Arabidopsis thaliana: one gene and its partner. The protein of the gene in region 1 interacts with the protein of each later gene in a biochemical or structural test. Each region holds a gene or a part of one and is shown in the gene's direction. Other genes may lie near its edges.

Evidence for each region. The genes of interacting proteins can lie anywhere in the genome.
Region 2: the proteins of EMF1 (region 1) and BBX32 form a complex in vitro, tested with the Arabidopsis thaliana proteins (one study listed by BioGRID).

What each region holds. Positions count from the first base shown.
Region 1 is NC_003076.8:3,692,409-3,702,538, forward strand, and holds EMF1 (embryonic flower 1 (EMF1)), read left to right. Parts: upstream 1-3,383; 5' UTR 3,384-3,757; exon of another isoform or gene 3,758-4,004; intron 4,005-4,650; 5' UTR 4,651-4,731; coding exon 4,732-4,826; intron 4,827-4,938; coding exon 4,939-5,114; intron 5,115-5,194; coding exon 5,195-5,314; intron 5,315-5,393; coding exon 5,394-5,447; intron 5,448-5,536; coding exon 5,537-6,798; intron 6,799-6,938; coding exon 6,939-8,522; 3' UTR 8,523-8,556; exon of another isoform or gene 8,557-8,791; 3' UTR 8,792-9,141; downstream 9,142-10,130. UniProt on the Arabidopsis thaliana protein: Transcription repressor that regulates phase transition during shoot, flower and seeds development. Controls leaves development, shoot architecture and flowering by delaying both the vegetative to reproductive transition and flower initiation.
Region 2 is NC_003074.8:7,411,017-7,417,228, reverse strand, and holds BBX32 (B-box 32), read left to right. Parts: upstream 1-3,501; 5' UTR 3,502-3,838; coding exon 3,839-4,516; 3' UTR 4,517-4,784; downstream 4,785-6,212. Other genes in the region: MNS2 (alpha-mannosidase 2), read left to right, coding at 306-371, 521-692, 1,139-1,228, 1,462-1,586, 1,685-1,750, 1,945-2,053, 2,146-2,247, 2,383-2,463 and 2 more; AT3G21140 (Pyridoxamine 5'-phosphate oxidase family protein), read left to right, coding at 5,143-5,403, 5,622-5,819, 5,928-6,030.

The sequences.
Region 1 (10,130 bases):
AAAAGCCAAGCACGAACGAGTACATATCGTTTGCTTTGCGTTTGGCGTTTATGTTTCTTTTAAAACAGAATGCAATAATTAAAGTCACAGTCCTCATTTCCGGAAAAGAAATTTAGAGGTTGGCGATGAGTTTAGTGAGATCATATGGATCGAAAACTATGAATTTAATTGATATACAAACAGATTAATGTGTGGACCATCTCGAGAACCAAACATATCGTTGATAAGTGTTTCGTCTAGCAGCTAACACATTTCAACATAGTGAACCGTACGCAACCTGGGTGTCTAAACGTATCACACCCATTATATTTTCTATCTAGCTCGAATGCTTATAAGGAATTTCAATGGCCCACAGAGAATGCGTGTATAATTAAATACGTGTTTTTCCAATATCTGAATAGTCTTTATATGGCCCACGAAGCAAATCAACAGGCAATATTACCACTCTTACTTGATTAATGAGCATTTTTATTTTCAAGTCTGCCTCTAAAGTGATCTCTTCGTATCTGGTGTTCACCCTTAAGCTGAAGAAACTCTTATCATCTAACACTTCTTTATAATTACGAAACTTCAGATATTCGATATACTGTTGTTTTAGCTTTAGAATCAATCGTTGATGTATATGTGAAAACATATATAGGTCATTAGTATTGATTCAGAACTAATTAATTTTCCAAAATAAACATCAAGTGAGCTTTCTTCACAGAATGTATCTAACATTTTTTTTTTTTGGGTAAAATCTAATATTTTGTTGTCGATGAATAAAAAGACTTCCAAGGTTCCAACATTAGGTTCATCGGGTTATTAAATAATCGCTGATAATAGATACATCTAATAGAGAACTTAGGTTAATTTAACAAATAAAAAATGGTTAACCAAGTGAGATAAGTTATCATCTAATGGACGTATCAACAATTAAAGCCAAACGATTGTGGTTCCCAACTGAAGTTATGAGTTGAAAATTAAGTATTTTTATAACGGAGATCAAACGAACTCAAAGGAATTTGTAACATAATATAATGAATGATACACATCGATGCATGAAAGTGAGTATATAAGCATATAAATACATGAATAAATAGATATGATGATGTTGGGGTGTGTGTAAGAAGTAAAAATCCAAGAGTTAAAAAGGGGAGAGAGAGAGAAGGTTGATGTGGTTGTCGAGATGCTAACAGAGAGGCACATGCAAAGCTTAAATGATGGTATCGCTGGTGGCCAAAGCATCTCCTTAAAGCTGTCCTTTTTCATCTTAAGTCCTCTTTTTTTATTTCCCCTTTGCTACCGCTTCACTCTTTCTCTCTCTATATTTTGCATACATATATTTATATACTAATGTGTTAATCAACTTGTGTAATATACCTTACTTATGTGCAGTTGTGCACGTATGCAGACCTAAAAGTGTATCAATTAATTTATATATATATATATAAATATAATCTCCTTTTTTTGAGTTACAAATACGTTTGAAGATAATATTCAAAACTATGTGAATCTTGATTTATACGGTCGAGAAAAAATGTTAGGTTGGTTGAAGATAGGTTCCGTTCCGCCCTTAATATATCTTATACAAAAAGATAAGATCATTACGAATATGTGCTCAATTCCTTTTCCATAAAGTTGGGTATTAAATTATGAATATTATCTAGAAATTTTAGAGGGGTGTATATAGTGTGCTATTTTCGTGATAAAAGTAAATAATGCATCCAAAATTCAAAGTGGATCATTAACACGTTTTGGTATATACATCACAATTTGTCAAACCCGTAATTAATTGCGCCAAACAAGAAAAAATGATCTTATGGGGCAAAAGTAAATCACATATATGGCAGTGGGAAGAAAAAAGGAGATTATATTTTTCCCCTAAAATAGACTAAAGTAACAAACCTAAATTTCTCTGGAAAGAATTATATCATAAAACCTCGAAGCCGACAAAAACTAAGAAAAAAAAAAACAATTTACCGAAGAAAGAATATTATTAAAAAATACAGGAACAAGGAGAGAGAAATGTGTTATAAAGGATAAAGCCCACTAAAGGTCATTCACTTATCTAACTGTATACTATTATTTTCTTCGAGGCAATATATAAAATTTACTTGATCTAGTAATTTATTTTCACTAAGGTTTAGTATTCTTATACATTTGTATAATAGTTAACACAACTTAACGATACTTACTTCTAATATGTATCAACACGTACGTACAGAGCCACGTAAAGAAAAAAAACACACACACAATCGCTGTCGAACAGTTAAATCCCGAATCTAGATTTGTATTAGTTATCTAATCGTATTATTGTTAATTCCGAAAGTAGAGTCAACATCCAATTAATTGCTTTATCAAATATCGAATATGCAAAAGGTCTAAAGAAAAACAAAGTTTTTTTTTGTTGTTAAACTTTGCTTACATCATAGGTATCCCATTAGGTTGGTGTACCATGTGATGATTCTACCACCGAAAAAACAGAAGCCAATATTAAAAAATACATCTATATAGTACATGTACAATAACAATAATTAAGGATTATTGTATTATATTTTAAGAAAAAAACTAAATAGGGTTATGTGAACCAGACTTTTTTTAACACTTTTACTGTGGTAAACTTTGGAAAGGGAAAAAAGAGTGTTAGGGTTAATATATGTATATATAATTCATTTATTGGGGAAATGGGCTCATCTAGGGTAACATCACCTACCCATACAATTTTATCATGCTTTTAGGGCTTTTATTTATCTCACTGGTCCCTCAATTCCTCCACTCTCTCTTCCCTTCGCGTGAACAACACGCTCCAATGTCTCCCCTTCGTATGTGCCGACGCTCCTTACCTCTCCGCGCCACGGACGAAACGTGCCCACACGCGAAAAGTAAACGCCGTGACATCCACGCGCCTAGGGTTTTCTTTTCATCAGGACACAAGTGAAAAATGGGTTGTGATAAGAACCGCACATTGCGGCCACGTGGTTAATTCTCATTGGTTTCTTGTGCCCCATCCTATCACACACAAAAACGTCTAATACGATTTAAATAAAAATCGGGTTCTTTCCTAATATAAAGAAAAACACTGAGATCTTTTACTTAATCTTGTTGTTTAATTTCTGGATACTGTTCCCCTAAGCCAGCTATTTTCTACTAATGCTCAGATTTCTTTCTTAACTAAACATATGCATAAAATTTTCTCCTTTTATTCACTTTTGACAGATACAGAGATACAAAGAACAGATACAGAGATGTACAAATACAGATACGTGTACACAATAGAAGTAAAAAGATACGTAACTTTGTTTCGTGTAATTGGAAATAGGCAGACCAGATGGTGACATGGCATTGTCATGTTCCATAGATGAGTTGTTCTTTTTTTAATATAAAATTATTACAATAAATTAATAAAAAGATTATTTTATTGAAATTAAAACCCTTATATCGACGCAAAGCCAAACAAAAAAAAAACCCTCATTTCAAGGATAAGAGAGCTCCACTTTCTCTCTCCTCTCCTTTCTCCAACAGTCTCTCTCTACAAGCCATAGGAAAAAAAAAAAAGTCCCCCTTTCTCTCTCCCTCCCCTTTCGTCTTAGGGTTTCTCGAAAATTCGCAGTCAAATTCTACTCATCTCCCGACGAATCCATCCTTCAAGCTCATCTAATCTTCTTCTCCGTAGCTTTCTCAATCTACCGATATAGTTTTTATCCCTTGCCGCTTAAGATCGAGCTCGAATCTCGCAACCCCTTTTAATCCCTAATTTCTGGTCGGATTAACCCAGGTGCGTTGTTTCCGACATGAATCTCAGATGTGTTTCGATTTAAGGTTTGAGCTAAGGTTTGATCTTGTTGGGTTGAGATTTGGTCTGACTTGTAGCTGACTTCGTGTCTTTTAAGCTTCACTGTTCATTTATACGTCTATCTTCCTCGGAAACTCTTGATGTTCTTACTTTTTTTTTTTTTTTTTTTTTTTGGGGTTTCGTCTTCACGGACTATTCACGTGCGGATAGATCTGACCCGTATTAATTGGTGGGTCTTGGTTAATCTTTGTTAATCACATACGGTTAATTTAAGTGGTTTATTATCTTTTAATTTTGTTCTAATTTTGATTTTAAACCCTAAATTACGCTGATTAATAATTTGACCTTTCTTGGGTTTTGTAATTCCGAAATTATATTGAATCTGGTCCGATCTTCTTTTTTCTTTTGCTGGTCATGTAGATAAGGTTACAGCTTTGGGGTTTCTCGTCTGTCTGAAAAACCCTAATTTTAGGTCGTCTAAGTTTAGGTTTACTTACATGTTAATTGTTAAATGTATAAAATTCACTTGCACGATTAATTTTTTGTTATATTAGCGTAATTGAATTGAGATGCTAGTATAGAATTTCATTCTTGATTTTATGTAGACCTTAGGGTTTAATTTTTTTTTATTTGCCGTGTAATTGTGAAGTTTGATGTTGGTTATGAATGTTATTTTATGTGGGATATTCATGTGAAATGCTTTAACACTATGTTATAGATTAGTTATATTTATTGCTTGAATAAATTTAGAGTTATATTTGGTGTCGTATATATGGAAAGTTAAGATTTATGTCTTGATATACAACAATAATGTGATCATTAAGCACAATTATACGATGTGTTATATAACTTGTTTTGATGTGTTGCTTTTGTAGCTCTAGTTGCGGAGAGAGTATAATGGTGTATGAAAGTTAATCATCACTGAGGCATAGTATCTATCTCCTTCAAGCAAATCAATGGGATCTTCCATCAAGATCAACTCAATATCCATAGATCTCGCAGGTGCTGCCAACGAGATTGATATGGTGAAATGTGATCATTTTTCCATGCGGTGAGTATAGTTTGTTGACCTTATATCATCAACCTCTCTTGCTAGAGTATGTTTATATAGTAGCAAGCTACAAGATGAAATGACATGAATAACCAGTTTTTCTTCTCTGCAGTGGATTCGTAGCTGAAACTCGTGAGAGAGACCTTAGAAAATGTTGGCCGTTTTCAGAAGAGAGTGTTAGTTTAGTAGACCAACAAAGCTATACTCTTCCTACTTTATCTGTTCCAAAGTTTAGATGGTGGCATTGTATGAGCTGCATCAAAGATATAGATGCTCATGGGCCAAAAGGTATATCACATTTCCAATATTGTTTTTTATGTGTCTAAAGACGTGTCTACTTGAACTTATGCATTTTGAGTTGCTTGCAGATTGTGGACTGCATTCAAACTCAAAAGCTATTGGAAACTCTTCTGTTATCGAAAGTAAAAGCAAGTTCAATTCGCTAACTATCATTGATCACGAGAAAGAAAAGAAAACTGATATTGCAGGTATGCATCTGCTGAGTCTTGGTTCAGTTTCATAATCCATAGCAAAATCTTAATCATTTTGTATTATCATGTTTTTCAGATAATGCTATTGAGGAGAAAGTGGGTGTAAACTGTGAGAATGATGATCAGACAGGTAAAGTTTTCTCTGGTCAAGCAAATTATGTTTTCTCTGATGATCTCATGATGCGGAATACTAATTTCTTAAAGCTTCAACAACTGCAGCTACTACGTTTCTCAAGAAAGCACGTGGTCGACCTATGGGTGCTTCTAATGTTAGGAGCAAGAGCAGAAAGCTTGTGAGTCCGGAGCAGGTAGGAAACAACAGATCTAAAGAAAAACTAAACAAACCATCGATGGATATTAGCAGCTGGAAAGAGAAACAAAATGTGGATCAGGCTGTGACAACGTTCGGCTCATCTGAAATTGCTGGTGTGGTTGAGGATACACCACCTAAGGCAACCAAGAATCATAAAGGCATTCGCGGTCTGATGGAATGCGATAACGGGTCATCAGAAAGTATAAATCTTGCTATGAGTGGGTTGCAGCGTAGGAAATCTCGCAAGGTTCGTCTACTCAGTGAGTTGCTTGGTAATACAAAAACCAGTGGTGGTAGTAACATCAGAAAAGAAGAGTCTGCTTTGAAGAAGGAATCAGTTAGAGGTCGAAAAAGAAAGTTGTTACCTGAAAACAATTATGTCAGCCGGATATTGAGTACAATGGGTGCAACCTCTGAAAATGCTTCCAAAAGTTGTGACTCTGATCAAGGTAATAGTGAATCAACTGATAGTGGGTTTGACAGAACTCCATTTAAGGGTAAGCAGAGAAACAGAAGATTTCAGGTTGTTGACGAGTTTGTACCATCACTTCCTTGTGAAACTTCACAAGAAGGTATCAAGGAGCATGATGCAGATCCTAGTAAGAGATCAACTCCTGCGCACTCTTTATTCACTGGAAACGATTCTGTTCCTTGTCCTCCGGGTACTCAGAGAACAGAGAGGAAGCTCAGTTTACCCAAGAAGAAGACAAAGAAGCCTGTAATCGATAATGGGAAGAGCACTGTGATCAGTTTTAGTAACGGCATTGATGGAAGTCAAGTTAACTCGCATACTGGTCCTTCCATGAACACAGTATCCCAAACTCGAGACTTATTGAATGGGAAAAGGGTGGGCGGTTTATTTGACAACCGTTTGGCTTCAGATGGATATTTCAGAAAATATCTCTCTCAGGTTAATGATAAGCCGATAACATCTTTGCATTTGCAAGACAATGATTATGTGAGGTCAAGAGACGCGGAACCAAACTGTCTTCGAGATTTTAGTTCCTCTTCTAAATCCAGCTCAGGTGGATGGTTGAGAACTGGAGTAGATATTGTTGACTTCAGAAACAACAACCACAATACAAACAGATCGTCTTTCTCGAACTTGAAGCTAAGATACCCCCCTTCTTCTACTGAAGTTGCGGATTTATCTCGGGTGCTGCAAAAGGTACAAGCTTTGCATCTATTTTTCTTCAATCGCCATGCTTTCTCATTCTGTTTTCCAACTTGCACCTATTCTTGTATATTCCAAACTGGTGTGCTTCAGTGATTGGATCAGGATGATAACGGGATTGATTTACTTGGCAGGATGCTTCTGGTGCAGATAGAAAGGGGAAGACTGTTATGGTCCAAGAACATCATGGAGCACCAAGAAGCCAAAGTCACGATAGAAAGGAGACTACGACTGAAGAGCAAAACAACGATGATATTCCAATGGAGATAGTGGAGCTCATGGCCAAAAACCAGTACGAGAGGTGTCTTCCCGACAAAGAAGAAGATGTTAGCAACAAACAGCCATCACAAGAAACAGCACACAAATCCAAGAATGCTCTACTGATTGATCTCAATGAAACCTACGATAACGGGATCTCACTTGAGGACAACAACACATCAAGACCACCAAAACCGTGTAGTAGCAACGCAAGGAGGGAAGAACATTTTCCTATGGGAAGACAGCAGAACTCTCATGACTTCTTCCCAATAAGTCAGCCTTATGTGCCTTCTCCGTTTGGGATCTTTCCTCCTACCCAAGAAAACCGAGCCAGCTCCATCCGGTTTTCTGGTCACAACTGTCAGTGGCTTGGGAATTTGCCAACTGTGGGTAATCAGAACCCTTCTCCATCCTCATTTCGGGTATTACGTGCTTGTGATACTTGCCAGAGTGTTCCTAATCAATACAGAGAAGCTTCTCATCCAATTTGGCCATCTTCCATGATACCACCACAGAGTCAATACAAGCCAGTTTCTTTAAATATTAATCAGTCAACAAATCCGGGTACGCTTTCACAGGCATCTAACAATGAAAATACATGGAACCTCAACTTTGTTGCTGCCAACGGGAAGCAAAAATGTGGGCCTAATCCAGAATTTTCATTTGGCTGCAAACATGCTGCTGGGGTTAGTAGTAGTAGTAGTAGGCCAATAGATAACTTTTCTAGTGAGAGCTCTATACCGGCATTGCATCTACTCAGCCTTCTGGATCCTCGCCTGAGGTCAACGACTCCCGCTGACCAACACGGAAACACTAAATTTACTAAAAGACATTTTCCGCCAGCCAACCAGTCCAAAGAGTTTATAGAGCTTCAAACAGGGGACTCTAGTAAGTCAGCCTACTCAACTAAGCAGATACCTTTTGATCTATACAGCAAGAGATTCACACAAGAGCCTTCCCGGAAGAGTTTCCCCATCACTCCACCTATTGGGACGTCTTCACTTTCATTTCAAAATGCTTCATGGAGTCCTCATCATCAAGAGAAGAAAACCAAGAGAAAAGACACCTTTGCTCCTGTTTACAATACTCATGAAAAGCCGGTGTTTGCAAGCAGCAACGACCAAGCGAAGTTCCAGCTGCTGGGAGCATCGAATTCCATGATGCTTCCTTTGAAATTTCACATGACGGATAAAGAAAAGAAACAAAAGAGAAAAGCAGAGAGCTGCAATAACAATGCCTCTGCGGGACCTGTGAAGAACAGTTCTGGACCCATTGTGTGCAGCGTCAATAGAAACCCTGCTGATTTCACCATTCCTGAACCTGGGAATGTTTACATGTTAACGGGTGAACATCTGAAAGTCCGTAAACGCACAACCTTCAAGAAAAAGCCAGCCGTGTGTAAGCAGGACGCAATGAAGCAGACCAAGAAGCCGGTTTGTCCACCTACACAAAATGCCTAAAGATATACAATGTGTGTGGGAGGGATTTGTGCAGGTAAGTTGCTAGGACTATCTGTTTCTAATTCTTTAGTTTTGGGATTTACTTGGTTCGTCTGAAATCAATGACTTAAAGAAATCTGCACCTTACTAAGTGTTTCTTTTTGCATTTACATTAGTTAGAACTGCAAAAGGTTAGGTTTTATGTTAAAGCCTAGGGTTTAGAACAGAGTTTTATCAGTCTCTTCATCAAATCTTTGTCTCCAGCTCTAACAAAACAATTTTCTCTTTAGTTCATTGTGAAACAGATACTGAGGCAGAGGGATTAACAGATGGAGAGGGATACAAAGAGAGGGAGAGAGACAGAGACAGAGAAAGAGAAAGAGAGATCATTCCTATTGAAAACAAGAATAAGTCAGACAGGAAACATTAAAATGCAAATCTTCCTCATGTTCTTGGTCTCTGGTCTTAAAAACATATCTTTGCTTATGGTTTGTTCAAGCATACTTGGGAACCATTCAGCTTGTGTATATATTTAAATGACTGTAGTACCCCTGATAGGCCTTGTTGTTTTTTGTTTGTTTTTTTGGGAAATACTAGATACCTTTCAGCTGGCGTTATATATATATTTAGTCTTTATTTATACTGTTGTGTTTAAATGTCTCTGTCAGGCCAGCCAACTTCTCCAAACCTAAGAGAAACCCTCTTAAGTCTTAACACATTTTTAATCCAAAAAAGACTCTAACTGAAGATTCCGTAAATTAAATCTCTAGTCTGAAGAAAAATCTGCAAAACAACTTTTACATCAATTAAAAAGCTTAGAGTGCTACAGAAACGCTTAAGGTTACTTTTCAACTTCTTAATTTACTTAAGAATACATTGAAATTAAGTTGGGTATGTTGTTGATTCCATGCAACTCCGAGTTTTCATTTGGCTGACTAGGTGAGGGTGGAGTAGAGGATCATTTTGAATTAAGATTATAGGAGAACAAGGAATGATCGATGGGAATGTGAGCAGATACAAGGCTCAAAGATTGAAAAGTTGGCGGATCGGGGAGAACAAAAAAAGGGTAATATTTGGGTTAAGTAAGAGTGAGAAGATGGTTCATAACCGAGGGTTAGGAGAACGGTCATCAAATGTGACCTAACGGGAAAAGAAAATGTGGCAGATTCTTAATATAAGCAAACATAACCACTGTGGTTTGTAGGATAAACACATTTAGTGGATCGGAAAACTAGAGAGTAATAAAATCCTAGGACGATTATATGAGATGGGGAGACGAGAGAAAATATATTTCATTGCCAGTTGAGGAAGAGGAAAGGAATAAGTGGACATTCATAGGAAGTGCTTCAACCCAATAGGAGTTAGGTAGTTCAGCTTGAAAGAGGAGAGAGTAAACAATGTTGTATAGGAGTTTGAAGAAAAAATTTCGGTACGTTCATATTATATATAATCCATTTTGTTGGGACGTGTAAAGATATGAAAAACGAAGCTCGCTTGTATTCACCATTGTCACATTGGAAAATATTGATTGTTCCCTAACACTTGTTTTGAATGAAGTGATTGTGTACCACACAAAAAAAGAAGTGATCGAAGTATAAGTTATTCCTCTTTTTTTTTTTTTTATGAGAT
Region 2 (6,212 bases), on another chromosome or scaffold:
TTTTAGGAAGATTCTTTCTGGCTTGACTTGTTCTAAACAGGCTTGTCTCATCTTATTGAGAAAAATATAAGTAGTGAAGAAAATGAAATGGAAAAGGCTATTGAATCGTCTTTGTAATGTATCTGTTGTGCAATGTTCACTTTTAAACTGTTTCAAGATTATATAGAAAACATTAAATATTTCTGGCTAAAACTGCAACCTCCTATAAATAATATTGTTTTCTTCTCCATTAACTGAAGTTCGATTCCCAACTTTTCCTGTTCATCTTTCCCAGCCTTCATTTACTTATTGTCTTTCATTTTCAGGTGGGTAGCAAGCTCATTAGATTTCGACAAGGATTATGCTGCCAGTATGTTTGAGACAACCATAAGGTTGCATTTAACAGGTTTACCATGTTTTTTTTCTACATGTACTAAGAAGAGTCATCTTGTTTAGGTTATCTGTTGTGTGTAGTTAACAAAATATGTGGTATGGAAGTGTGGCATCTGTGCTTATATATTTTCTCTTTGTTGGCTTTCAGAGTGGTAGGAGGGCTTCTCAGTGCGTATGATCTTTCTGGGGATAAAATTTTCCTTGAAAAGGCTATGGATATTGCAGACAGATTATTGCCTGCATGGGACACTCAATCGGGTATACCATATAATATTATCAACTTGAAGCATGGAAATGCTCACAATCCTACATGGGCGGGGGTAAGTCCTATCTGTCATATTCCTTGTCGATCTTTTCAAAGCTTTAGGCATTGGATATACATTTTCTCTTCTTTTCTCGCCCAGATTTTCATATGCGTGCAAAACTTTATCGAGATAGTCGCCACTAGGGTCCTGAACATGTTTCTAAAGGAGCTCCTAAGAGGCCACTGAAAAATTGAGATTTAAGTTCCAGTCGTTTTCTTAGATGTTTCAGGGCTCGCCAGGAACGAACTGTTCTGTTTTTCAAGTTATGTGACAATTAGTATTCTGTTTGTGTCTACACTGTTTTAGAGTTTAGTTGTAAAGATCATGATGAAAGTAAAGATTCTTTATCAACTAGGTATTGTTTCACTAGCAAGCTCATGTTTAATGTGGAATGGGTACCATCTGATCTATTTACATATGTCTTTCGGTTTAGTTGATTGTTTACTTCTTTCTTGTTTTAGGGAGACAGTATTCTTGCAGATTCTGGTACTGAGCAGCTTGAATTTATTGCCCTTTCCCAGAGGACAGGGGACCCAAAATATCAGCAAAAGGTGCAATTACTCTCCGTAACTTGTAGCACTGCTGACTTATTACATATCCATCTGCTTATCAGCGAATTTGTTATATCTATAAACCAGTGAATGGAATACATATTTCTTAGCTTATTCTGTTGTATTATATACTGATTAGGTATTAAAGTTGGCAAAATGTCTGGATGCATGTTGTCATAATTCGGTGTAAACAAATTGCACCTCAATGGTTGACCTGTTAACTCGTGTCTCAGGTAGAAAAGGTTATTTCAGTGCTAAATAAGAACTTCCCTGCTGATGGTTTACTTCCGATATATATAAATCCCGATACAGCTAATCCATCGCAGTCTACAATAACATTTGGTGCCATGGGAGACAGGTGTTTTTCCAACTTGATTGCATTTTATATTACTGCTAGTCTGATCCCTTCTGGTTCTGCTTTGGTTTGATTTGTGACGGCTAATATTTTGTGTACAGCTTTTACGAATATTTGCTCAAAGTTTGGGTGTTTGGGAACAAAACTTCAGCAGTGAAACACTATAGGTAAGTTTAACTCTAGTCTACTGAGTGTATATATGTCTGATTGATTCAAGTCCGCTAAGTTCAACCAGCTGCCATCACATTTATCTTTCTGCTTGATATCTATGTTCTTCTTTTCTTTTCTGGTCTTTTAGTTTCAACATCTTTAGCCGAACAATAATAATTTGTACTGTTATTACTTGACATCTTGGCATCAGAGATATGTGGGAGAAGTCAATGAATGGTCTGCTAAGCTTGGTTAAGAAATCAACACCTTTGTCGTTTACATATATCTGTGAGAAGAGTGGAAATTCTTTGATCGATAAGGTAAACCCATCTGTTCATTGTTTCCATTGTATTACGTGAAAATTCTTCATCGCCTGGCATTTCCAATCTCATTATTTCTCATATATATTAAGATGGATGAATTGGCATGCTTTGCTCCTGGAATGTTGGCTTTAGGAGCATCTGGGTATAGTGATCCTGCTGAAGGAAAGAAGTTTCTCACACTCGCTGAAGAGGTAAACTTATGACTTGAATGATCTTTGATCATAGCGTCGTAAGTGCTTCAGATCTTTCGAATTTTTCGCTCTCTGCTTTTCTGATTTAGGCTGCTGAGATATAGCCTTTATTGCTATTTTCCACATATTTTGCAGCTTGCGTGGACATGTTATAACTTTTACCAATCAACTCCAACAAAACTGGCTGGGGAGAATTATTTCTTCAACTCTGGGAGTGTATGTCATTTGCCTGTCTTTTTCAAACACATTGTTTATTTTATGCGTTATTTATTGTTTAGTATACATGATGATTCAGGACATGAGTGTTGGAACGTCGTGGAACATCTTGAGACCAGAAACTGTCGAATCACTGTTTTACCTCTGGCGGTTAACTGGAAACAAGACATATCAAGAGTGGGGATGGAATATATTTGAAGCATTTGAGAAGAACTCGCGCATAGAGTCTGGATATGTTGGTTTGAAGGATGTAAGTTTTCCGTAGGCGCTTAATTAGATCCTGCATTGTTAAAACCTTGGTGAATTGAATTATATCATTCCACCATCTATATTAGTAATTGAGTGTAACTGATGGTAGATTCTTATTTCTTTCAATCATTTCCAGGTTAATACAGGCGTTAAGGACAACAAGATGCAAAGTTTCTTCCTTGCAGAGACACTCAAGTATCTCTATCTACTCTTCTCGCCGACAACAGTCATTCCTTTAGACGAGTGGGTATTCAACACCGAAGCTCATCCACTTAAGATTAAGTCTCGAAACGATCAGGTAAATCTCAAACAATCCAACAAAGTACTGCTACGAAAACCGGCATTTAGAATACGCCAGAGGCATTATGGTCGGATAACAAAGAAGTAAAACTCCCTGGAGAGGTCACAGTGTGATTCGTAGGAGGGGCTCTATGGATATATCTTAACAGAGCAATTGGATTTAGCTTGGCTATTCAAAGACCCTTTTATTTAAGAAACCATTTTTGGAAAGATTTCAAGATATAGACTATTGTTGTACTAGTTGGGATCAGAACCCAAACAGGTTCACCACAGTTTACACCTTGTGTTTTGTATCCTTACTCCTTAGATTATAAATTAAGAGTATTATCTTCTGTTTTGTATTCGACAAAAGATCAATGTATAAAAGTTTATATAAAAGACTGCAACAATGCAGAAGAAATGTAATGGAAGCAACCAAGAAAAGAAGAAGAAGCAATTTGCAATGAGACCAAGTCTCTGAAAAGACATTAGTGTTGACTAAATCTCCACGTCACACCAAAAGGAAGACGAATGACTTGGCGGCTAGTGTAATAGTTTTAAAAATGACCACATAATCTCACCAGCCTCAAAACCTCACGACACGTCATTCTCTCCAATTCTACAAACACCATTCATTTCATTTCCCTAAAAAATTATGGCTCATGTAAGTTTCTTTGATGTGTGAACTGTGGAAGAGACTACTCTCATCAACCATGAACCATAAAAACTCCACCGCTCTTTCTCTCCCTCAATCATTTACATCTCTTCCTTAAATCTCTCTTCCCACCATCATCATTCCAAACCAATTCTCTCTCACTTCTTTCTGGTGATCAGAGAGATCGACTCAATGGTGAGCTTTTGCGAGCTTTGTGGTGCCGAAGCTGATCTCCATTGTGCCGCGGACTCTGCCTTCCTCTGCCGTTCTTGTGACGCTAAGTTCCATGCCTCAAATTTTCTCTTCGCTCGTCATTTCCGGCGTGTCATCTGCCCAAATTGCAAATCTCTTACTCAAAATTTCGTTTCTGGTCCTCTTCTTCCTTGGCCTCCACGAACAACATGTTGTTCAGAATCGTCGTCTTCTTCTTGCTGCTCGTCTCTTGACTGTGTCTCAAGCTCCGAGCTATCGTCAACGACGCGTGACGTAAACAGAGCGCGAGGGAGGGAAAACAGAGTGAATGCCAAGGCCGTTGCGGTTACGGTGGCGGATGGCATTTTTGTAAATTGGTGTGGTAAGTTAGGACTAAACAGGGATTTAACAAACGCTGTCGTTTCATATGCGTCTTTGGCTTTGGCTGTGGAGACGAGGCCAAGAGCGACGAAGAGAGTGTTCTTAGCGGCGGCGTTTTGGTTCGGCGTTAAGAACACGACGACGTGGCAGAATTTAAAGAAAGTAGAAGATGTGACTGGAGTTTCAGCTGGGATGATTCGAGCGGTTGAAAGCAAATTGGCGCGTGCAATGACGCAGCAGCTTAGACGGTGGCGCGTGGATTCGGAGGAAGGATGGGCTGAAAACGACAACGTTTGAGAAATATTATTGACATGGGTCCCGCATTATGCAAATTAGGACATTTAGTGTTTAGTGCCTTAATTATAGTTTGTGTCATTGATCTGTTTGATCTTTCTTTTCAACGTAAACTAAAAATGGTCTGAACCAATTGAGATGATAGATATTTCTTTAGAGGAGATTTAATTTTTTTAATCAACAGTAAGAAGATTTTAGAAACGGAATAATGGTAATCCAATAGTCATTATCAGGTTCTTTTGAGATGAAATTGAAATCTTTTCTTTCCCAATTTTTTTAAACAAAGATAATTTCTTAGAATATTATGTTATTATCAATAAAAATTGTAAATTGAAAAGAAACTGATTTTCTTATTTCAAGGAAAATTCGTTATTATCAACATCAAAACAAAACAAAAGAGAATAGAAAATACATCAAAAGTAATTCCTAAGGACAAAAGTAATCGTAATCCAACTATAAAAAAAAAGCCAAAAGAAAAAGAAAAACCCTTATATGTATGTGTGTGTTATACAAACCCTACTCTGGAAAAGTCCTAATTCCTAAAGCTACTTTCAACAAAGACGCCTGAAGCATCTGCCTATAGTGAAAGATCAGAAGACTCTTCAACCAAAATCTTATTCTCATCCACCATGGAAGCTCTCTTCACTTCAACACACACACCCAATTTACAGACTAAGCCTCTCCTCAAATCTCCGCTGCCCACTTCTTCCCAGTCTTCGTGTTGGTTTTGTAATTCGCTACCCAAAACGCAATTCCCGAAGCTGAGACTCAGTAATGGATCAAGTCACGGGCTTCGTATACAAGCTCTCTTACGTAACGAGACGCCAAGTGAAGGTGAAGATAATAATGGGTTTGGTTTTTTTCCTGGGGATATCTTCTCTTTATCACAGGTACTTTTTCTCTTGTCTTGTGATGAATAAATTCAACTAAAGATTATAACTTTTGTTTTGGGTATGCAAAAATTCAGCAAAAGATTACAATTTTGGACACAAAACTTTGGTTTTGATGCAGAGTTTGTGTAGAATCGAATCTTAGATTAGCGGAAAGATGATACCACGTAATGGTTTGCTTTGACATAGAGATTAATAGCTTGTAATGTTGTGTGAAGGAAAAGCTCGGGAGTAATAGCAATGGTGAAACTTCTCATAGTGTAATCGATGTGGAGGCATCTCTTGCACATCCTCAAGGTGGTGGAGGAAATCGAGCTGGGCTTTTTAGAACTCCAATATCTGGTGGTGTTCAAAATGCTACATCAGCTCATGCTTTACCTCGGCCTGCTTTAGCTGTACGGAACTTGTTGGAACAGGTAAAAGGGTTTGTCCTTTAGATGGTTTGTATTCTTCCTTTTTTACTTCAATGAGAAAAGATTATTTAAGTTCTTTATCTGTCTTGTCTTGTGTTTTTATGATTCAAGGCTAGGTTTGCTCATCTGTGCACAGTGATGTCCAAAATGCACCACCGCAGGGAAGGGTACCCATTTGGCTCATTGGTAGATTTTGCACCTGATCGGATGGGGCGTAAGTCACTGAGTCTTTCTTTCTTTGTTGACTGCTCCTAGTTCTACAGTGTCTTCTTTTGTTGCACGCTCAATTTTTCTCAGAGTATCAGTTTAATTATTTGCTAGTCGACAATTGGTTCTTAGTCATAACTCCTCTAACTGTAAAATTGATTTGATTTTTGTGGGAACGCATAGTAGGAA